3 linked regions of the Lonchura striata genome follow. The protein of the gene in region 3 interacts with the protein of the main gene of each other region in a biochemical or structural test. Links are inferred from orthologs where the notes say so. Each region holds a gene or a part of one and is shown on either strand. Other genes may lie near its edges. The genes, in order: HIP1R, HIP1 and CLTB.

The links.
Region 1: the proteins of CLTB (region 3) and HIP1R form a complex in vitro, tested with the Homo sapiens proteins (2 studies listed by BioGRID). The link is inferred for Lonchura striata from reciprocal best matches to the Homo sapiens genes CLTB and HIP1R.
Region 2: the proteins of CLTB (region 3) and HIP1 form a complex in vitro, tested with the Homo sapiens proteins (2 studies listed by BioGRID, with this or other methods). The link is inferred for Lonchura striata from reciprocal best matches to the Homo sapiens genes CLTB and HIP1.

Annotation. Positions count from the first base shown.
Region 1 is NC_134620.1:12,765,953-12,773,125, forward strand, and holds the start of HIP1R (huntingtin-interacting protein 1-related protein), read left to right. Parts: upstream 1-4,100; 5' UTR 4,101-4,222; coding exon 4,223-4,315; intron 4,316-7,173. UniProt on the Homo sapiens protein: Component of clathrin-coated pits and vesicles, that may link the endocytic machinery to the actin cytoskeleton. Binds 3-phosphoinositides (via ENTH domain).
Region 2 is NC_134622.1:1,003,559-1,011,116, forward strand, and holds the start of HIP1 (huntingtin-interacting protein 1), read right to left. Parts: upstream 3,104-7,558; 5' UTR 3,053-3,103; coding exon 2,936-3,052; intron 2,708-2,935; exon of another isoform or gene 1,791-2,707; coding exon of another isoform or gene 1,749-1,790; intron 1-1,748. UniProt on the Homo sapiens protein: Plays a role in clathrin-mediated endocytosis and trafficking. Involved in regulating AMPA receptor trafficking in the central nervous system in an NMDA-dependent manner. Regulates presynaptic nerve terminal activity.
Region 3 is NC_134617.1:3,464,410-3,472,434, reverse strand, and holds the start of CLTB (clathrin light chain B), read right to left. Parts: upstream 3,046-8,025; 5' UTR 2,957-3,045; coding exon 2,773-2,956; intron 1,236-2,772; coding exon 1,192-1,235; intron 74-1,191; coding exon 1-73. Other genes in the region: FAF2 (FAS-associated factor 2), read left to right, coding at 3,876-3,938. UniProt on the Homo sapiens protein: Clathrin is the major protein of the polyhedral coat of coated pits and vesicles.

The sequences.
Region 1 (7,173 bases), on a different chromosome or scaffold from region 3:
TGTTCTCCTATTGTGGATTGGATGCTTGCAGTAGGCACCACCTTGTCTGGTTCTGAGGACAAAAGAGTAACCAGATATGGTTAAAATCCTGAACAGCACACAAAACTGAATAAGAACCAGCAACAATGAGGAGAAAAACTGGCAAAAAAAGAGAAACCTCTCAGTGCTGACACAGCCCAGGCTCGTGCCTGCAAAGGGAGGTTACCCCAGAGCCAGCTGGGCTGTGACACTGTGTGACTCCAGTTGTGGATCAGCCTCCAGCCCATGGGGAGCTGCTGCTCAGTTCTCTCTTGGGTATTCCAGCTGCAGTCCCTGAGCTGTTTGTGCCCTGGGGAGTCAGGCTGGCTGGCTGCACTCATGTTCTGCTGGTTCTGCATTAAGCCTGGAGTCACTGAGACTCCTCTGTGAGCCCGTGGGGACTGTGGAGTGCAGCTGATGGGGCACCTGGGGGAGATGGATGCTGAGCAGCTCGAGTGCCAAACTTTCCTCTGCTGTAACGTTCCTGTGCACAGAGAACTCTTCCTTTCCTGAAAAGAGCCCTGAGGTAAAAGCAGACAGAGGTTTTATAGGTTGGAGCCAGCACTGTGACTTGCATCCTGAAACCACTGATGTTACAAAGCTTCAGGAGCAAATCCCCAAAAGTGCTGAGCCCCGTGCTGAGGCAGCAGAGTGGGGAGAGCACGCTGAGCCTACAGAAATAATCACATTTGCCTCAAGTGAGAAAGAGCTGGTGGAACAAACATGCCACAATCCACTGCAGATCCATGACAAGAATGAGTGGTTCTCCAAGTCACTGGCTAATACATAATTTTCATTTTCTTTCTGTGTTAAAAAGCAACGAATCACTGTGATCAGTTAGATCTGAAGCAGAGCAGGCTCAGAAATAACCAAACATTTGTGCAGTTTCATATACAGAAGTGATTGAATTGATTTTGGTTGTGTTTGTTTGGTTTTAAATTGCTTTGAAACTCATTTGAGGGCAGGTGCACTGGCAAACATTAGGGCAATTTCCTCCCTAGCTGCCAGTAATTTAGCTATTCTCATCAGTCAGTTGTTTTGCCTCTAAGAGAGAGGTTGGAGGGGTGGGGGGAGTTGAAGAACTCAGGAGGAGAGAAGTTAGGAAAAGGCTATTTTCTTTTTTGGACACAGCAGCATGTGCCAGTGCTCATAAACGGTGACTCAGTGGCTGGCCTGGGGCACAAAGATCACTCCTTTCCTCAAAGCCAACTGGAAAGGTTTTATTTCCCAGCACCCCAGTGGTGGCCCTGAGACTGTTGCCTTTCTGTGAAGTACTTTGTTTACCTTTTCCTCTTTATAGTTTTACTCCATGTTCTTACTCTGTTTGCAGTGTGAAAATTTGTGTAATAAATTCACGTAAGTGTGATTGCTTCAGATATTTCAGAGGAAATGTTCCTGCTTTTTTCATTAAAATCTTTTCCTTTTTCTTCAGAGGAAAAAGTGTTTCCAACACAGAGGTAATACTGAGGACTGAAGATCATTGACCCAGCAGCTACAACAGAAAGTTACCTCATATTTTTCCTGTGGTTCCTCCTGAGTGTTTGAAAGACTCACAAGTGGCAAGAAGATGTGACTCTGCAAGAATGCATTTTATCTTGAAATAAAACACAGAATTACACCAAGATTAACAAAGCTATTTTTACAGCTGAGAGCTCAGGTTAAACACTAGCTTATTTTTTAAGAATCTGAAGTGTGTAATTGTTACAACATAGGAACTATTTTTCTTTTTTTTTTTTTATGGTGGCTCAGAAATATTTATAGACTATGACACAGCCAAGCAATCTCCTTTTTTTTTTTTAGCACATTGTTTTTGTTCTGGATTTCTTGCCTTGTAGAGAGAGATGAATAATGTTTATAGGAAGTTCCTAATTAGTGTTGTAAGCAGGAACTGCCTCCGATGTTGCTGAAATGGGAGAACTGTCACCCTCAAGGTGGGCAGAACATCTTTCCACACTCAGGAGCTGGTTTTCCAACAAAAGTCTATGGGATCAGGTGTGTATGGCCTCTGTTTGCACTGTAGAGGTAGCCAAGTATGATGTAACCTTTTTTTAGCATTTAAACTGGATTTATGTTTGCTGATTGGGCAAGATGTGCTGTTATCACAATTTGAACTTCTTTTTTAATGTAGAGATCAAATAATCTGATAAAGGTGATACTTTGCTGTGTCTCTCTTGCCCATTTAACACATTTAGCACTTGATTTCTGACATTTCTCAGCAGACATGAGTGGGCTGCCCAGTCCTGTGTAGATTTGGGAGCACTTTGGGACACCAGTGCCCCTCCCACAGCCCTGTGCCAGCATTTTTCCTGCTGGGGGGAGCCAAGGGTGGGAGTTTCTGCTCCATCCAGTGCCACCAATTATTGCTGAGAAACACAACATTCCGTGGAGTCTCCTTGTTAACTCTTTCATTTCATTTTCTGCTTTCTCTTTAATTACTCCAGTGACAGCCTTTCCTGCAGGTATTAATGGCCCTAGAATTAGGTGGCCAGTTCTGATGAGAGCTGCTGTTCTCCAGACTCTTTCCCTGCCTGCTCACCAGCATTACCCACAGAGGGAAGCTCAGCTGCTCCAGCTCTTTCCAAGTTTCCTCAAGCCTTTACAGTGCATTTATTCCTCTACCTGCATAGAACCTTCTCAGGCTCCATCCTCGCAATCTCCTGCTGTGGGTATGACAAGAATTCCCCCTAAAAAGCCAGTGATGACAATGCCATGATGCTCACCCTGAAGCTGTCCAGCAGCTACACAGAGAAATTGGTGCAACTTCCAAGCAGCAGCTGCATTTAAATGGTTTTGAGGTTATTGGATCAACTCACTGAGTTTAAACCCCTGGAGAGTTTAAAATGATGACTTTAAGATCAATATAGAAAACTGAGCTCAAGCGATGCATCAAGGATCTGCAGAGCCTTAGGATTTTGTGTCGGGGCTGCCCTGGATTTGTAGAATGGGAAGAAGGGGAATAACTGTTAATTTATTCAGCACTAAGTGACTTAAAGCCCAACTACATTATTGACCACACTCTGGTGCTCAAATGGAAACGCTTCAAACTCGGTGCCTTAATTCTGGAAGCAGCTCAAATACTCCAGGGAGCCCTTTGCTATTGTATCCTTGGTTTGAATTATTATTTAAAGACAACAAAGCTCCTGTTCAGCCACGGCCTTTCCGCAGGGTGGGTGCGAGCTCCGGTCATTGACTTTGGTAACGGGAATCGGTGCTGGAGCTCCGGTGCGAGTGCAGTGGGAGAGGGGTGAAATGGGCGCTGAGAAGGGACGGTCGCGCTGGCGGTGACCGCTGTTCCTGGTGCTTCCTGAGCTGGGCAAGCACCTCGGTGCCTGGTGCCTCGGGGGGCTGCTAAGGGACGTGTCCCTCGCTCCGTGTCCCCTCTCCGTGTTCGTGTCCCCTCCCCGTGTCCCCTCTCTGCCCGTGTCCCCTCTCCGTGTCCGTGTCCCCTCCCCGTGTCTCCTCTCTGTCCGTGTCCCCTCCCCGTGTCCCCTCTCCGTGTCCGTGTCCCTTCCCCGTGTCTGCTCTCCGTGTCCCCTCTCTGTCCGTGTCCCCTCTCCGTGTCCGTGTCCCTTCCCCGTGTCTGCTCTCCGTGTCCCCTCTCTGTCCGTGTCCCCTCTCCGTGTCCGTGTCCCTTCCCCGTGTCTGCTCTCCGTGTCCCCTCTCTGTCCGTGTCCCCTCTCCGTGTCCCCTCTCCGTGTCCCCTCCCCGTGTCCCCTCTCTGCCCGTGTCCCCTCTCTGTGTCCGTGTCCCCTCTCTGTCCGTGTCCCCTCTCCGTGTCCCTTCCCCGTGTCCGTGTCCCCTCCCCGTGTCCCCTCTCTGTCCGTGTCCCCTCCCCGTGTCCGTGTCCCCTCCCCGTGTCCGTGTCCCCTCCCCGTGTCCGTGTCCCCTCTCTGTCCGTGTCCCCTCCCCGTGTCCCCTCTCCGTGTCCTCTCTCTGTCCGTGTCTCCTCTCTCTGCCCGTGTCCCCTCTCTGCCCGTGTCCCCCCGGGGCTCTCGGTCCCACCTGCCCGCGGGGGGAGCGGCGCTGCAGTTCCGAGCGTGGCCGCTGGGGGCGCGGCGGCGCGCGGCGCAGTGCGCGGCCGGGAGGGGCGGGGGCGGGCGGCGCCGGTCGCTCCTGCCCGGAGCGCGGAGCCCCGAGCGCGGGCACCGGAGCCTGGATACCGGAGCCTGGCTACCGGAGCGGGGAGCTCCCAGCGCGGCCCACCATGAACAGCATCAAGAGCGTGCCGGCGCGGGTGCTGAGCCGCCGCGGCGGGCACAGCCTGGAGGCGGAGCGGGAACAGTTCGACAAGAGCCAGGCAAGGACAGCGGGAGGGGGCGGCGGGGCCGCGGGACCGGCCGCGGTTACGGTCCCGGTTTTAGTCCCGGTCCTGTTCCCGGCTCGGGGACGGGGCAGGCCGGCCCTTTCCGCGGGGCATCGCGTCGGGGCGCGCTGAGCGCGGGGGTTTCTCGGGCGATGGGATGAGACGGGATGGGGGGCGCAGGTCCCGGCCGCGCTCCGGGGAAGCCCCGGTGGGGCAGCGGGGCCGCCGCACCTCTGCCCGTCCCCGTGTCCGCCCGTCCGTCCCCGGTGCCGCCGCCGCGCGCTCCCCCTCCCCCACCTGCGCCGCCGCTTCCTCCCGGCGCGGCCGCGGGACGGTCCCGCGTGGGCACCCGCCCGTCCCGCCGCCCCGCGCCCGTCCCCGGGCCGCGGCCCCGCCGTGCGCCGCCGCTCCCGCGGGCAGCCGGGCCCCGCGCACCCCGCGCCTCCCGGGCCTTACCGCAGGTCAACACGGCCGGCAGCACACGGGGAAAGTTTTGCGGTGCTGGCGGCAGCGCGGCCGAGCCCGGGGACTCCGCGGCAGCCCCGCGCCCCGGGAATGGGCATCTCCGCATCCCTGCCTAGCCCCGGCCCCACCGGCACCGGGGGATGTTTCGCACCGGAGTTGGATCCACCCCTACCCCGCGGCTCCGGGTCACCCGCGGGTCACCCTGCGGGGATCGGGGTGTTTGGACCCACGGACGGTGGCAGAGTGGAAACAAAGCCCAAAGGCGTTCGTGCTCCATCGTGTCCGGCTTGGCGGGGGTGTCCGTGCTCCTGTAGACCCCACGGGGTGGGCAATGCTCGGGCACTGATGGGGCCGGCATATGGCTGGGGGGAAACGAACTACTCAGACAGCGTGGGCAGGGATGGGCAGAGGGATGGACAGAGTGACGGGCTCGCTGCTGCCCCAGCAAAAATAACAGTGCCCTGCCGCATGCCTCCTCTGACCCCTCTGCTTTTGCAGGCTGTGCATTCATCGCAGATGTTTTCCCCTCTGCCCCTTTGCTTTGCGGTTCCTTCCTCAGGCCCTGGGCTGGTTTGGCCCCGGAGAGCGCCAGTGAAGGCAGGTGGGAATTTCAGGCCTCGCAGGGTCACGGTGCTGGGTAGGAAACGGAGCTTTTGCCGTGTCTGGGGAGCAACACGAGAAAACCGGCAATTCCGGTTCCCTCTGGACGCGTCTCCTTCAGTCGGCCCGCTGGGCACCGCTGGTGAACGCTGCCCCGTGCCCAGCACGAACGGGGCCCCGCTCCCCCCGGCCTTCCAGGGCACTTGGGGCTTTTCACTGGGATTTGTGCTCTGGAGATCCGCGCAGTCACAGGGATGCTGTGAGCGGAGATGTGGACACGGAAAAGAGGTGGTTGCTCGCTGGCTGATGGTCACATTCCCTGCCCAGAACTGCTAAAAACTGTCCTAAAGGAGCTTTATCCTGGTGTGGTTTCCTGTAGTGGTGCTTCGGTGAGAGCAGAACTGTTCAGTGTCAGAACGTGGGTATTGATCTGCCTTTTACCTCTAATTATAGCAGCTGCCCAGTTGGCCGCCAGTCACCTCTGTGTCACGGGGGTGCTGGTGGCATGTCCCCTCCTTGTCTCTGTGTCACGGGGGTGCTGGTGGCACGTCCCCTCCTTGTCTCTGTGTCACGGGGGTGCTGGTGGCACGTCCCCTCCTTGTCTCTGTGTCACAGGGGTGCTGCTGGCACGTCACCTCCTTGTCTCTGTGTCACAGGGGTGCTGCTGGCACATCCCCTCTGTTGCCTGAGGATTCTGTACCAGAGTCCAGAGCCCCATCACCTTTTCCCCTGTGAGGGCTCAGGTGATGTCTGTGGTTACAGACAGGAGTTGCTGGCCCTGCTGTGATCCCAGGTCCTTGTGGGTGACGTGAAGGTCACCTGCTTTCCCTGAAAATGCTTTTCCATATTTTGTGTCAGGGTGATTTAATGTTCCCCTCGGAGAAGCCGTGCATGGGAAGTAGGAAATCATCCCACAGCAGGCGCTTGCTCGGCAGCCTTGCAGGAGGAAAAACTTGCCCGTTTTTGCTTTTCTTAAAGAAAAAGGTTAAAAATCCAATGAGCTCTGGAACCTGCAGGATTGCATTGTGTGTGACTGCCAAGTGGTGTTTTCCTGGTGTAATTTGGAAAGGAGCAGCATTAGGAAGGGAACTCTGGAGTTCATAGCTCAGCTGTTCTGACAGCTCTCGGACTGCCTGGCCAGGGAGGTTTCCAGCTGCCAAATAATCCCGTGCTGGAACCCGGCATCCACTGCCCGGAGGGGATTGGGCCCCGGTGGGATGCCGGGGCTCTGGGGAGCCGTGGGCGGGAGGATCAGCCCTAATTAAAAGCAGCCAGGAATGAAAGGGTGGATGTTAAACTGCGCTCCTTCATTTGGGCGCTTTGATCCCGGCTTTAGTCAGCGGCTTGGTACGTGCGGGCTGTGAGCAAAGCTGGGGCTGCAGCCCTGTGGGATCCCACAGCCCACGGCCCGGCAGGTTTTGGGCTTGGCTCCTCACCCAGTTGGCCTGCCAGTGGTGGGGAACAGTCCACAGGTTGCATCAAAGTTTTGGCCAGGCTGATTGTGCACCTGCAGTGACAGCCAGGACCTGCCCATCTCCGGACGTGCCAGCGGTGTCCCAAGAGGTTGGGTCAAGGGTGAATCTCCCCGTTTTGGAGCCATCCTCCACAGCCTGGCTTTGCCAGACAGCCAGCAGGAGCATCCTGTCAGCACACGTGTGCCAGGCTGCAGCATTGCCCCATGCTGGTGCCACCAATCCCATTTTCCTGGATCTCCTGGCAAGCTTGATGCTTGGAGGCAGGGAAAGCACACGTGGGCTGCCCAGAGGGACTGGCATTGGTTTGGTGCC
Region 2 (7,558 bases), on a different chromosome or scaffold from region 3:
TCCCTGCCCCGCTGAAGTCCTGTGTCCTTCCAACCCTGACTTCACCCTCAACACTTTGGCTCATCCAATTGTTGAACACCCAGTCTTTGCCAACTAGCCAAGCACAGAAGGAATTTCAGTCCTTGGCTCCATCATGGCACAAGGATGTCTGCTGTGGACAATTACAGCATGGAAAGAGGAAGAAGGAGGGAAGGTCCCAAGGAGGGAAGATCCCAAGCACTACTCTAAACAAAGAAGACCTTCCCTGCAGAGCTCCAGCACCAGCGCATACCCCTTAATCCAACCAGGAGAACTTGGAGGGGATGCAAACTTCAGACACCATGTGAAACATTTATCTTAAAATGTGGCAGGATTTTCACTTTCAATGTTTTTTTCTCCTCCGTTAGTGATCCTTGCTGTGCCCAAAGATTTGTGCCAAGGTTGAGGTGGTGAATGGTGAATCACCACATGAAACATCAGCAAAGGGGGAACAGTCATTGCAACACTCATACTCCCTGATGGCAGCAGAACTGCAGGATTTGGTGTCCCTGTTGCTCAACTTCCTATGAAAATTATCAGCATCGACAGAAAAGGAATAGAGCAGTCCTTGGCTGTGTCTTGTTCTTCCTGAGCTGCTCTTGCCCAGCAGGCAGCAAGAACAGCATGAAAGGAACACCATGTCTGGGCATGTCCTCAGGTTTCCCACATTTGCATTCCCAGGAAAATCAATATACTTGCACAACTGTAGGAGCAGAAGAGAGGCCACCAGGAAATTTACTGCTGTTTGTCTGCAAGCCAACAGATGGAGGCTGTCAGGACAGAATTGTTGTGCAATGCAAATGCAATAACCACCATGGAAGCTTTCCACCACCAGAATATCCCACCACCATGGAACAATTCTAGCACCAGTTTACCACCACCACAGAAACATCCTATCACCACAGGAACATCCCACCTCCAGACCTCCCCACTACTAGGATGTCCTACCACCACCACAGCTTTGTAGGGTGCTCTTGTTCTTCCAAACTGAGCTCAGACCACAGAAACTGGGTGCTGCCAACCCAAGCAGGTGTTCCTCAGGCTCCCCAAAGGCCCATTTGGATACACTTTCTGCCTGTTTTAGCACTTTTACCCCAAAATAAGCGTTGCGATGTATGTGCTGCTGCCTTGAGACAGCCAGGATTGGGGGGAGGGAAGGAGTCTGTACATGCTAAAAACACAGGGAAATTTTTCATTTTAAAGCCATTTAACAGATGAAAGTTTTCTTAAAAGAAGTCACTTTCAAAAAGAAAAAACCCAAAGCCACAAAGTTTCTCTAAAAAAAAAACCTCAGAAAGAAGAAGTTGGACAAAAATTGTACAACCAAGACCTAACGGGTGCCTGGCAAGTTCTCTAAAGTGGAGAGAATTATGGGGAAAAAAAAAAAAAAAAAAAAAAAAAAAAGAGGGAGAAAAAATTAGTTAGAAAGGGAATTGCACGGAGCTGAAGCACAGAAGAAGAAAAAGCTAGACAAGGCCATGCTGTGTCATTAGTCTGGAAATAAGATGAGGAAGATGAAATCCAGCTCGTAGCAATGTGGGGAGTGGTGCCGCTCCACCACCCTCTCCACTCAGCCCTTCCCAGGAAACCACTAGCTCAGGGGGAGCCTGAGAGAGCTCCAGGCCCATCCGGCTGTTGCTGACACAACACGGAGCCAGAAGGTTCCAGGAGCAAACCAGTTCCATTCCTACCTTTAGCAGTATGAGTAAATAATTGATGTCTGAGGTAACCTGAGCGGGAAGGTGAGCAGAGCCTTGCACATGATCCTGCATCCAACTTCATGGCCTGGTGGGTTTTCTTCCTGCAAAACCCCCTCAGACATGATCCTTGGTGTTTATTTCCATCTCTAAGCCATATCCCATGTGTTGCTCCCACTCTGGGCTCATTCAAGTCTGCTTCCACTGGTCCCATTTCTACCCTTGCTCCTGCCTCAGTTTCCCTTCCTCTCCCACGGTAGGTCTGGACAGTTCTGCTTCACTGGTACTTTCCATCCCTGGACATGGAGCAGAGCCAAGCTGTCCCCAGCTCCCTCTGCCGCCATCCCTCTCTCTTCACTCCCCCCATGCTTTGATGCTTTATCCAGGCATATCCCCAGCTGCTCCAAGCACAGCCTTTCCCCAAATCACCAGCTTTTTCCACCAAAGCACCCCTACTGCCCTTCCAGTTTGGCTGCCACCTTTCCTCTGTGCAGGACATCAATCCATCACCTAAAACCTGAGCAAAGGGCCCCATCCACCCCCATACTCTGGATGCTGCTGACAGTGCCTCTTCCCAGGAGCCAACTGCAGGGACAGACCCTGTCCACACCTGGGGTCTCGGTGTGACACAGGAGCAGAACTGACTCCACTGGCCAAAGAGCCACTTCTGTGTTCCCTCCAGCCAGGGAACACAGGCTATGTGTGCTCAGGGAGGTTCCAAGGACAGGGTGGCACCGTCCTGGGCATGATGCCTGGCTGTGGCCGGGCTTGGAGACTTGGCAGCTCAGGCCAGCGGGTCAATGTTCCCTAGCCCCGCTGCTGGGAAGGCCAGGCTGAACAAACACTGCTGGGCTGGGGCATCCCGGCTGTTCCTCCAGGGCCGGCTCCAGCCCTAGCCACGAAGTCCGGCGGGTCCCCAACCCCGTCGCCCCAGGGCGACCCGCGGCCCTCCTCCGCCAATCCCCCCGACCTGCCGCCAACCCAGCTGCGCCCTTGCGCCAGCACCAACCCGCCAGGCAGCTCCATCTGGCTCTGGCTCACCCGGCTGGCCGCGCCCACCCAAACAACCTCGCCCACCTCGGGTAACCCCGCCCGCCTGGCACAGGTACGGGCGAGCCGTGCCCACCGCACCGCGCCGCGCCCCGGCTCGCCCCGCCCGTCAGCCACCGCCTTCCCCTCCTCACCGCTCGCATCCCCGCCCCGCCCCGCCCTGCCCGCACCTGGGCGCGCTCGAAGCTCTCCCGCTCGGCCTCCAGGCTGCCGCCGCCTGCCCGCCGGCTTAGCACCTTGGGCAGCGGGTTGGCCACCTGCTTCATGGTGCTGCTCACCCGCTCCATGGCCGCCCGACCCGGCCCGCCGCCCGGCCCGCGCCGCGCCGCCACCGCGGGCCCTGCGCCATTGGCCCGCCCGCCTGCCCCTCACGGCCCGCGGGCACCACCCTCCCAGCCGAGCCCCCCCCCACCGGCCCGGATTCTCACTCTCATTGGTTCATATGGACGTCAATCAACGCAAGCTCCCGCCTCCCCAGTCCCCCTGCTCTTTGCTCCGCCTTCAGGGGCCGCGCCCTTAGCACCGCCCACCCGAGCGCCGCGGCCACGCCTTTGCGCAGTTCCCTACTGTGATTGGTCCGCGGCCCTGCCGCTCAGACACCGGTGTCCCGCCCCGCCCCTCCCCTGTATGGGGCGCGGCGCCCCCTGGCGTCGGCGGACTGATCGGGACGCGCCGGGCCGAGCCCAGGGGCCGCCGTGGGCTCCGCCGGGCCCGGGGGCGGCCGCCGTGCACCGGCTCCGAGCCGCGGCTGAGCCCTCCGGGGCCGCCGTGCACCGGCTCCGAGCCGCGGCTGAGCCCTCCGGGGCCGCCGGCCGCCGAGCCCCGTATGGCTCCGTGAGGCTGCGGCCCCTCGGCCGAGCCCGGCGCGTGGCCACGGGGTGACCCGGCACCGCCGCCCCGTCCCCGCTGTCCGCCTTGGGCCGGGCCGCCCCTCACGGGTGTTCGTGGCTCCCCACGGCCTGGGCCGGGGGTGGGGAGGCGGCTCCGCCGGCTGTCAGCGCCAGCAGAGCCCCGCAGCCTGCGGAAGGGTCGTGTGAGGCTTTTCCCGTGTGGGATCCAGGCTGGGGGTGGGAGCTCTGCAGGGCATTGCTGCAGGCACAGCTGGCAGAGCCCAACAGGAAGTGTGTAGCATTGGCAGAGGGGCAAAATGTGGTTACAGGGGTCTGAAAAACGCCAATCATTTGGTTTTTAAAATTTTATACGTTTAATAATAATAAAATTGTTATAAAAATAATAATACAATTAGGGTAATAAAGTTTAGAGTTAGGACAATTACAAGACAATAAAAAGCAAAGAATTATGGATGTCCGGATGCTCTCATACACTAAGTCACGAAAAGCATGACTTGTGAACAAAGGAATCACCCTTAAACTAATACACTTGTTGCATATTCATACATCCTTTATGGTTATGCATACGTTCTATTTTAAACAAGAAACTCTGTTGTATGTCAACTGTTTCCTTTAATCCCCTGGCGTCTTCGAGTCTGAGAAAGGCCTGAAGAAATTAGCTTCTTCTCATAAGAAGCCATAAATTCCTCTCCTTTGGAAGATTTAGGTGTTCCTCGAAGCCAGTATCTCATTCCTAAAAAGAAAAGTCCCCCCACATACATAGTCTCTATTTTAACATTATGTTGTAACCTAAAACTACACTTAACACAATACGTAAGAGAATTAATACAGCATAACTTTCTAACATTACACATATAATATTCATTGTAACATTTGCGAAAAGCCAATCACAAATATGCATTTTTCACAATGGGGTCTGAAAAAGAAGAGAGGAAAGGTGAGAGAAGGATTTTGTTTCCCCTGGACTGTGTTTTATTATAACTTGATCTGGTCCTGTCACTCTAATCAGAGATTTTTGTAGCATTAGATTGGATATCAGGAAGGAATTATTGACTGTAAGGGTGGTTGAAGCCCTGGCACAGGTTGCCCAGAGAAGCTGTGGCTGCCCCATTGCTGGAAGTTACCCAGGCCACACTGCATAGGGCTTGGAGCAGCTTGGTCTAGTCAAAGGTGTGCAGGAGGTGGAACAGGATTGTTGGAAATTATACAACTTCTAAATTTTTAAACTAACTTTAGTCAGTGGTTTCGTTCATCTTTGCCCAGGAAGGGAATGGAAGTTTCTTTTCAAGAGACTGTTCCCTAGGCAAGGCCTGATGAGTTTAACATCTCAAGGGACTGGGAGTGCCAAAGGATGCACAAGAGATAAGCGACCATTAATGAACATCAACATCTGAACATCCTTCCTGTTGTGTCGGAGACACTTAGTCCAGGAAAAGATCATAAAAGAAGAATGAGGGCCCGATGAGTATCGAAGGTGAAGAGATCAATAACCAATAGGAAACCAAATTCTAAGAACTGTGTAACTTCAGACCAATAAACATTGAACCAATGAATCTCTCTGAGTTTTAACTGTATAAGTATGTAAAAATCTAGAAAAGAGACATGTGATGGAATTATTTTCTTTGCACAACCCAATGTGTGGATGAAATTACTTCTGTTGCACATCCTGGCCAGAACATCATCCTGGCCAGAATAAAATAACGCTTGAGTTCTCTAACATTAAAAATTGTTCAAAAGGTTTTGTTTTTCCTGCTGTTTAAGTGACAGGATGAACTTTAAAGTTTCTTCCAACTCAAACCATTCTGGGATTCTCTCAACCTGGCGAATTACTGGCTCCTGTAATTTTGACCAGGACTATCATCCTATTCCAGAGGTGAATTTCTCACTTGGAACATTTCTACAATACTGGGAGGAATTCCTTTTTTTTTTTTTTTTTTTTTTTTTTTTTTTGTTTTGTTTTGTTTTGTTTTGTGAAGAGACTGAAAACTGAATTCCCAGATATGGCAAATGGGCCATGCTGGGACTGTGCCAGCTGGGTTCCTGAATCCTTAAAAGCAGATCATAACAAATCAGTGACTTTGCTCCAGGTGGGGAGAAACTGTGCAAAACACTGCTGGGGTGATGGGGCAATCTGGAAACAGCTGTTTAGCATGTAGGCTGTCAGGAGCTCTTGTGTAAGCAATCCTCCCAGCATATCTCTCTTTTCTGACTTTTTCAGCTGAAATAATTGCCACACCAGGACCCTCCTGGAGCTGCCCAGCAGGGTGTGTGACAGCCTGTTTGCATCACAGGCCTTACCAGTCCCTGTGCATTGGACAGCAAATCCCAGCTGATGGGAAATGGCCTGCGTGGAGCAGCGAGACCATTCCTCCCACTTGTCTCAAGTGCCTGTCTGCATTGTCCTTAATGTACTTTCTGGAAACCTGCCTCCTTCCTTGGGGCTGCTCCCAGGGGAAGTTTAATGGGTTTGATTCATCCACTGTTGCAGCGAGATGATTAATAATTGAAGAAATTACATCATTGCTGAATAGAGATGGAGGAAAGGAAGAGCAAAGGAAGGGACTGGACAAAGGATAGTGGTGCCTTGTGATCTGGACCTCTCCCACCCTCCACCTCACTGGGAACATCCTGCTCCTGGAGCCCATGGCAAGAGACCACTAGGCTGAGGCTTGGTATAGCTGCTTCCTCCTACTGAAGAGCAGAGCCACATCCTCTTTGTCCCTAGCCAGGGCCCAGTGCTCATGCTGGGACCTGGGCAGGAACAGAGCAAGGTGCTTGGATGCGGGACAGAGCAGGCTGTTTCTACTGGCTGCTTCTGCCTCTCCCAGGAAGGGGCTGTAACAGGATAGAACTGGGATCCAGCCCATGAGCTGCTGGTCAGACCACCCTGGGCTGGCCTATTCCACGCAGCCTTTCTGCTGGAATGTGCTGTGGGGATTTGCAGGGATTTGAGAGGCTCCTTCCCAGTGGGAGAGAGTGCCTTGTTTTCAGGTAGTTGAGAGGGGAAGGCACAGAGCTGTTCCTGTGCAGCATCTGTTCCTCTGCCTCAGGTTCCATGGGGAGATGATGGGGAAGGGCTGAAACTGAGCAGGGTGGAGGTAGAGCAGGTTGGGCATTGCTCTTCCTCCCCAGCAGGTCCTTTTTGGAAGCCATGGCTGGGGTTCACCTGTTCTCAGAGTGCTCTCTCCTCACTCCTGTCCAAGAGGCTGGACTGAAGGGTGATAGCAGAGCCCCTCGTGGGGGTGTCTGGCCTGTGTGGGGACAGACATTGTCTGGACATGGAGAGGACCATGTGTGCCCTCTCTTTTTTCCTGCTCAGCAGTATGTGGCACCAATCAAGTACTGCTCAGGCCAGGCAGGTGGGACTGGAGCTCATCCTTCCCCTGTTGCAGGGCTCCGTAGGGCAGTTCCCTCTTTATTCTCCATGCCCAGAGGTTCCTGTCCACAGGATCCTAAAGGAGGTCTGCTCCCATTCTGTCAGGACACCCTTAACCCAAATGGGAAGGCCAAGTAACAGGAGTGGGACCAGAAGGGACTGCAGGGGCTATGGGCCCTGTCTGGGGCTCAGGGATGCACTTTTCATGGGGGCTGGGAGCTAGAGTCTGTTTTTATAATTCCCTCCCCAGCCAGAGCTGGAGAGTCCCAGGGTGCTGCTGCAACAGTCATCACCCTCTTGTGGCCTGGCCTGGGCTCAGGGAGAGGACAGATCCCCCTTGTTTCAACAGGAAAACAGAATCACAGAGCTCCACAGTCCTTCCTCTGTTATCCTGCTGGCTGTGCTGGAGTGGGCTGGCACAGGGCTCTGTGCTAAGATCCCTTCTCTTTCCACCTTGGAGGTGGGAAAAATGGATCCCAAATGGATCCCCTTCAGTCCCTTTACACATTCCAAGGCAGGCCCAGATGCAGCCCTGCCCTGGTGATGGGGTAATTTGCTCAGACTCT
Region 3 (8,025 bases):
TGCTCTCGGGTTCCTGGGTCAGCCGGTCGGCCTTGGCTATGGCTGCGTAGGCATCCGTGGGGCCGTTGGACTCCTGTGGCACACGAGCACCTCACCATCAGCACCAGTGCTTCCAAGAGCCCAGCCCAGCCACCTCCCAGGGCTGGCAGCACTCAGGCCTCCACACTCCCAGCACTGACAAGCCAGGATAGGAGGTAGGAAGGGTGACAGCTTGACACATGTGGGACAGTGTTCCCTAAGTGCTGCTCAAGCTACTCTCCCAGCCTCAGGCCCTGTCACCTAAAGCCTTGCCAGCGTTTCCCTCCTCGACCTGCTGCTCACTGCCACCGCAGCTGTTGTATCCTCCAGGCAGCCCCACTGCACAGGGCAGACACTGGCCTTGGAACTGCTCCCCAGGGACTCCCTGGCCCTCACTGGGGCCCAGGCAGCTCCGGGACCGAGCTGCTTCCCTCACGTCTGAGCTGAAGGCCCCGCCAGGCCCAGCACCTCCCCTAACACCTTCCACTGGCCAGATGCCCAGTCTGACACCAAGCTCAGCAATGGGATTACAGCTTTCTTCCAAGATCCTCAATCTAATTAAGTCTGTCCCATTCCTGATGCGATTATCATCCTGTAAAACAGGCATGGGCAGTGCATATGCCCCACTGCTGGGCAAGTGGGGTAAAGAGCTTGTGAGATGCTGGCACTGCTGACAGCAGAGCTAGGCTTCAGGCTCTCAAAGGGATCTGAGACCCAGGTGGGTCCCCCAAAAAGCCCCTGGCCATGGGGGCAAGTGGTTTTCATGGGCAATCCAAGCCCCATGGCAGCCCTATCCTGTCTCTGGCCTCTGTCAAGAGATGCTCCTGCCTGCCCCAGAGGCCTCCAGAAGCTAGCCAGACTGGATAGAGGGGACTTCTTGGGGAATGGATGATTTGTCACCTGCTCTTAGGGCCCAGGCATTCCTTCATGGCACAAGCCACCTGCAAACAGATGTGGGGCAGGTCATGGCAGGTGGGACACATCTTCTCTTCAAAGAGAATGGAGCAGCCAGGACTCCCACAGGAGACCCAGACTTTTCCAGGAGCACCGTAGCTGTTCTGCAGCTGGATAGCAAACTCCAGTCAATGCTGGGGGCAGAGCAGAAGATTGCTGGCCCCATACCCACCCAATCTTCCTTAGCAGCCCTGGGCCAGCAAAAGGCTGAGCTCTCACCTGAAAGACATCTCCATTGACAGTGGCTCCTCCATTCTGGAAACCTGCTCAAGAAAATGGAAGAGAGAAGGAAAAAACACAACTATGGCAGATGCAGGTAATCCCAGATAGGCTGGTGTTCATGAAACTGCATCAGATTAGCTCCTGGGAGTTTGTGCCTTTTTCAGCTCAGCACACCCTTGGCACAATACCCTCCCCGTGTCCTGTCCTTGCTGGGATTCAGCAAGCACCTCTCACTCTCCCACACAAACCTCTGCAGGCATTTACATCTTTATGGTGTTTTCACTGGTGTTTAATCTTATCTGAAGATTAGGGAAACTGCTCCGGCACAAGACTGACACAGGCTGCTGCTCTGACTGTAGAAACAAAACCTGACCAACCTCAACCTGCAGAGGCTGCAGGACACAGCTGAGCCAAAAGCTGCTGGCCAAGTGCCAAGGCAACTCTCCAGGTACACAGCCCATGGAAACACTCCTTGTGCTCCACCAGGACAGAAGGGTATACCTACAGGCTGAGGGCCTTGGGAGCACACCTGGGATGAGCTGCAAGGTCAGAGTTGGTAATGAGGCACCCATCTGCCCACACAACCCCAGAAAGCTGCACACCCAGGTCACAGAGCCAGCCCAGGCAGGGGGCTTTCTGCTGCCAGGAGAGAAGAGGCTTTGAAGGAGTCACACTCCAGGTCCTGGGCTTTCCCCAGTGACCACAGGGCTTCTCCTGGCCAGCCAGCTGCAGGCACAGACACACTGCAGCTCAGGCCAGCACTGTCCCCAAAGTGCTCAGCCCCATGACTACACCCAGCTCCAGCCTGTCTAACTGCATTTATCACTGTGGCTGTCAACATCTCTCCAAGCCCAGATTTGCCTCCATGACCCTGTGTGTAGAGCTATGAAACCACTGCTCCACAGACAGCATGAGGAGACACTGAGGGGCTGCATTAGGAAAGGAGTCAGAGCCCTGTGGCAACAGTGCCCCCATACAGAGAGCAGATGCCAAAGCCCCTGCAGACTGAAGACGAGAGCAGAATTAGCACATTCTACCTGCAGGGCCTGGGACCACAACGTTCCCAATGGCAATGTCTTCCATTTTGCATCCCAAAGGGCTCTCCTGTCTGTGGGGACAGTGACAAGGCTGTCATTGCTCCTCAGTGCCGCCTGGATGCCTTTTACACTGCCATAGCTAGGAGCACTGAAACATGGAGTCGGGAGCCCATCCAACCAGGGAAACCCAGTACAAGGGGGAGAAACCGCCCCACGGCTGGCACATCCCAGCTCAGGATTCCCACATCCCCGAGGTTCGAGAAGCTCTTCGGGCACAAGCACAGGCCCAGACGACCCTTGCTAGGATGCCAACCTGGCCCACAAGATCACCCCGCCACCGGCCCACGAGGGGCAGCACAGACCCCATCACCCACCAGGGATGCTGTGCATCCCCCGGGGACCCCAGCCCCGCGTGGATGCGGCCCGGAGGACCCTTCCCCGCCCTCGGGGCAGAAGGGGCACAGCCCCGCGTTACCCCGCAGGGTCAGAGCCCGCCCGCAGCCAGCGGGAGCGCAGCCGGGCGGCCCGCGGGCGCGCTCACCCTGTTCCGGCGGGGCCGCCTGCCCGCCCGGGGCGGCGGCCGCCTCGCCGTCGGTCGGCCCGAAGCCCTCATCGTTCTCGATGCCCGCGATCTCGCTCTCCTGCTGGGCCAGAAAGGCGGCGGCCGGGTCCTCCTCGGCGCCAGCGCCCTCAGATGAGGAAAAGAAGCCGAAGTCGTCGGCCATGACCGGCCCGCCCGCGCCGCTCCCGGTCCGGCTGCGCGGCTCGGCTGGGCTGGGCCCGACTGCGCCCGGGCGGAGCTGCCGCTGTCACTGCGGCGGCGGGCGGGGCGGCCGCGCTGACATCACGCCGGGGCGGGCCCGCGGGCGCGTCCCGCCTCCCGCCAGCCGCAGCGGGCACCGGGAGCCGGGGCTGCCCGCCTGCCTCCCCCGGGGCTCGACTGGCCGCGGTCTGGCCGCGCCGACCCCTCAGGCGGGCGCTCGTAGCTGCGGGTGGGAGCGGGGACCCCTCACCGCCTCCTCCATCTTAGCGGCCGCCGCCATCTTGGGCCGGGCGCACGGGCGGCCCAGCGGAACGAGGGGTGCCGGGCAGGACCCTCCCGGCGGGACCGGAGGTAGCGGGCAGGACACACCCGACGGGACCGCAGGTGCCCGGGCAGGACCCACTCGGTGACCGGCAGCCCCCGCGGTGACGGGAACACAACCAGTGTTTATCGGGGGTCTTCGGCTCATATCCCCCCCGTCCTTGGACTCAGGGCCCGCTCATCCCCGGCCTGTTCCGGGAACACCCGAGCAGCCCTTGGCACGCATCGGAACCCCTCGTGTGCCCGCCGGGAACACCCGAGCTGAGCTCGGCACACTTCGGATCTTTACGTGTGCCCGCCGGGAACACCCGAGCGGTGCTCGGCACACTTCGGAACTTTACGTGTGGCCGCCGGGAACACCCGAGAGCGGCCACCGCTGCCGATGGGATTCGGGCATCTCCGGACAGGCCCTAGAGCGCTTCGGGTCAGTCCGGAATGCGGCCGAGCAGTTCCGGCGGCGGCCGATAAACAGCGATTGGCCGCGGCGCTGGGCTGGAAGTGGGCGCGGGCGACGTCACTTCCGGAGAGTGACGGAGCGGCGGGTCAGAGGCGGCAGCAAAATGGCGGCGCCTGAGGAACGGGAGCTGACGGCGGAACAGACCGAGAAGCTGCTGCAGTTCCAGGTGCCACGGCCTGGGGGGCCCGTGCCGGCCGGCGGGAGCGGGGGAGGCGGTGCATGGACACGGAATGGGCTGAGCTGGGCCCGCTCCGCCGGCGCTGGGGGGTACGGGGCTCACAGAGCTGGATAGGCCCGTCCTGGAGCGGGGTGTCGAGCTAGGCACGAGGGGGCAGTGAGAGGAGAGACAGCTGTGGTCCCAGTCCTGGCCGGGGGCAGTGAGATTTCCGTGCCTCTAACGCTTTGTCGGGGCGATGTTCTGTCATCGCTAACTGGGGAGGCTGCTCAGTAAAGTCCTCGCAGGAGAAACTCCTTGGTAAATCCCGGCCATTTTAATTAGCCTGAAAATTTTCCTTGTCGTAGCTGGAGAGCCTTTCTTGGCACCGCGGGAGAGTTATCCAGTGGGTTTCTGTGGAACATAGTCCCTGCCCCTCACGATTGGGTAACGCCGCTGGAGACTGTAGTGATCTAATCTGTCTCTGCTACATAACACAGGCAAGGTCGCTTAACCTTTGGTTTGCGAGGCCTGGGGCTGTGTGGCAGATGAATGATCATAAACACAGTCTGAAGATGTGGTTTATTGAGGAGAAAACAGTGCTGGGCAGCTGAAATTCTTAGGGTTGCTCAGTGATGAGTAACTAAATGTGCTGAGCAATGAAAATTACCTTCAGGTGCCTTGGGTTTGTTTCTGAGCTGTAGGACATCATGTGGCATCCCTTGGATTGCAGTTCTTTTACAAATGCCATGATTACTTTTAAGAGTACTTTGTCTGCTTTTGTTGCTTTATGTTACTGTTTTGAAGAGTGTGCATTGGCAGTTTGGTGTGATGTAAATGTAGATTTAAAGGGACTCCAGAGGCATCTGGCCCTGCCTTCCCCAGGTGAGACAGTGCAGGTGTTCATCATTCCACACATTGTCTTCCCAAGCCTTCCCCTGATTCACAGCCCCCTGACTTAATCACCATGCTGAGGTGTCTTCCCATGACTGGACCCATGAGGAAACTTGCTTTACAAGTGTCCCTCTTAAGTCTACTGCAGATGGAGCTGTTTGGGCAGACAAATTAAATACAGACTAAAGGCACAGAGCAGTGCTAGCCATTGCTGTCCCTGTGCTGCCTGGTGAGTAGGTGAGGGTTTTGCACATATAAATGTCCCATTCTCTTGCTGGGAGATATCTTGGTTCTTGCTCGTCTGCATGCTCTGGACAGGTAGGACCAGCTGCTCTCACTGCTGCCTCTGCTGCTGTTTTCAAACCCATGTGGGTAGCTGTGAAGTGAAATAATCCTGTTTCCTCATGCCACTGGTGTTGGCATGGACAGAGGGCTGCTGGGGAACCCGAAGGAGAGATTCATGCTTTAGTCCAGCTTCCTGTCAAGCTCTGGTTTGAGGCACTGGGAAACACTCCTCAGGCTGTAAAGGGGAGAAATTTTTTCAGTTAGACCACTGCTGTGCAGAGCCAGATGTGAAAGCTGTGGTCCAGAAGGCTTGGATACCAGCCAGGATCCTCCCTCTTCTGTCTTCTGTGGTGTGTTGGATCAGCTTTCTCCAGGGCTAATGACAGACCCCACTGGTGATTCCTTCTCCTCTGATATGTCACATCTACCTGAGAAGGGCTCGGGTGTGAGCCCTGCTGCTTCCTCAAAAGTAAATCAATCCACTTGGAAGAGATTTTTTTCTCAGACTCCAATAGGAAAAATGAGGTGTTTGAAGAGATTAGGTAAGTGTCATTAAAATAATTTGAACATTGCTACAAGTCAGCTTGGAAAGCCTTCAGGGATCCCTGCTGAGCTTGCAGGGAACACTTCATTGTTTTCAAGGATAATTTCACACTTTGTGATGTGCCATCATAAGTAGGCTGCACAGCATTCCATGGTGACAGAGCATTGCACTTCCACAGAAGGTTGTATCCCACTGCACTGTGAACAGAGCAGCAGAGCAGACCAGGAAAGAAGGCAGGATGACCAGGATGAGGTAAGGAATTGTAGAAGGCCCTCAGTGAAATAGAGAGCCAAAGGGAGGGAAGCACTGAGCAAGGACTGCTATTCACCTAGAGAAAAGGTGGTTGGGGTGAAGATGCTGTTGCCATAAACTGCTTCACTTCTGCTGGAGAGTGCACCTTTCCAGGCAGAGGTGAGTGTGCTGTCCTGTCCTGGCACAGGTCTGTGTTAGTGCCCTCTCTGCATTAATCCCACTGATGTTTGTGTGGTGGGTTCTGTAGTGCTCATACAAACAGCTTTGCTGGCAGAATGCTGAAACCAGCAGCTTCCTTCTTGTGGGCAGGGCTGGAACGGGGCAGCTCTCTGCACCATGCTGGGGCAGGTTAGTAAAGGAAAAAAGTCAGTAGAGAGAACTGGGATAAACTTGAAAGCAACAAAGCCTCTTGTGTGCTTTCAGCCTCTCATTTACTGCCAGAGAACTGGCTAATAATGTAAGAGAATAAAAGCATCTAAATTTTTCATCTGTCAAGACCTCACTGTCCTGACATTTGGAGAGAGAAGTTTGCTGTGAACAGTTTAGGAAAGCTGTGGAGATGTGATTCATTTGGGAGATGGAAGAATCAGCAGAGCAGCTTTTGTAGGATCTGGATATTGATCTGTGCCCATTACACTTGGGCTGATGTCTGATATTGTAATATGCTAATGTAATGTAATGGAGTGTTATTTGCAAGAGAGTTGGCACTCATATAGTCTCTGACTTCAGCTAGGGAAAACAGAATGCTCAAGGCTGGATGTGACTCTGATTTAGGGGAAGGAGGAAACATGAAATTCCAGGCAGCTTTCCCACTCAGCATATCCATCAAAACCCTCAGAAAGGCATTTGCTGTAATATGCAATAAGAAACTCTTGGTTAAGGCATTTTTCCAGTTAGAACTCAGATGTTCTTTACCCTTGGAAAGTAATTCTCTGGAATTTGGCAGTGGGTTGGGAAGTAAGAGCAGTGCCAGTTAGTCCTGTGGATTTGCATCTCCTGTGCTGTGTTTCAACATCGGAGCATATCTGTAGAGGCAACGGTTTCGTAAGTCCACTTTACAACCTTTGTCCACTCAGGGGTATTCCTTCTGCTTTTGAAGCATGAAATTGTACTTTCCACTACTTCAGTTTTGAGAAGATTCTGAGCAGTCTCAAAGGTGAGAAATACTAATAATTACCTCCAGCAAAAGCTTCCTTATGCTTTACAATAACACTCTTGCTTTGGTGGTTGAGAAGCCACTATTGAACTTTTCTGGCATTTGTGGAATTTAATGTTTTGTTTTTTGAAATACTGGCCACTATGTTGAGCTTGGATTTATTTGAAGGTTTGAGAGTGCTGGTGTAATGGGACTAATTTTAACTACTTATTTGTGTAAGATCCATGCTCTTAAAGGCAGCTGATAAGGGATCAGAGCATCAACGGTTGAAGATGCTGGTTCTTCTCTTAGCCCTGATGATACAAAGAATGTGCTGGTGTGCCATGGGTATAAGAGATGCTGAGGCAGTGGAAATAATGTGGAGTTTCAAGTTTCTGATCTGTTTCCATGACTTGGTGAAGCAGGGGCCATAGGAATGTCATGAGGGTGATAATGACCAATATCAGTGTTTGCCAGCAAGAGTTGTCTGGAGTGGCGGTTGAACTGTGGTCCTGCCATTCCTTACATCAGGCATGGGTCATTCTGAAGCCTGGTGTATCTCCAGAACGTGGTGGAGCTGTGGTGTATCCAGTGGAGCACACAGACTAACAGCCAGCAAGGTGTTGAGTGTTAAAAGCTGCCTTTGCCAGGCAGTTTTTTCTACAATGTTTAATTGTGAAGCCTCATTGATCAGACAAGTGGCGGGAGCGCTCGGCACTGTGCTGCTTGGAGTGGCTTTGTCACTTCTGGTTTGAGTTGAGAGCAGCTGAATTAGGATGCTAAGGAAAAAGAAATAAAAGGAAATTCACCTCCCTGGGGAGCTCATGTAGAAGACTGAGAAGTGACTAGAGCTGCCTGTCACTGTGGTGGTGGTCAGGAGGGGTGAAGTTGGCTGTCTCTGATGTCTTTGTGGAACTCGGGTCTTGCAAATGCTGCAGTGATTCAGTGCTCATTAAATGCTTGTTGATAGCTCTGCTGCTTTCTGACCT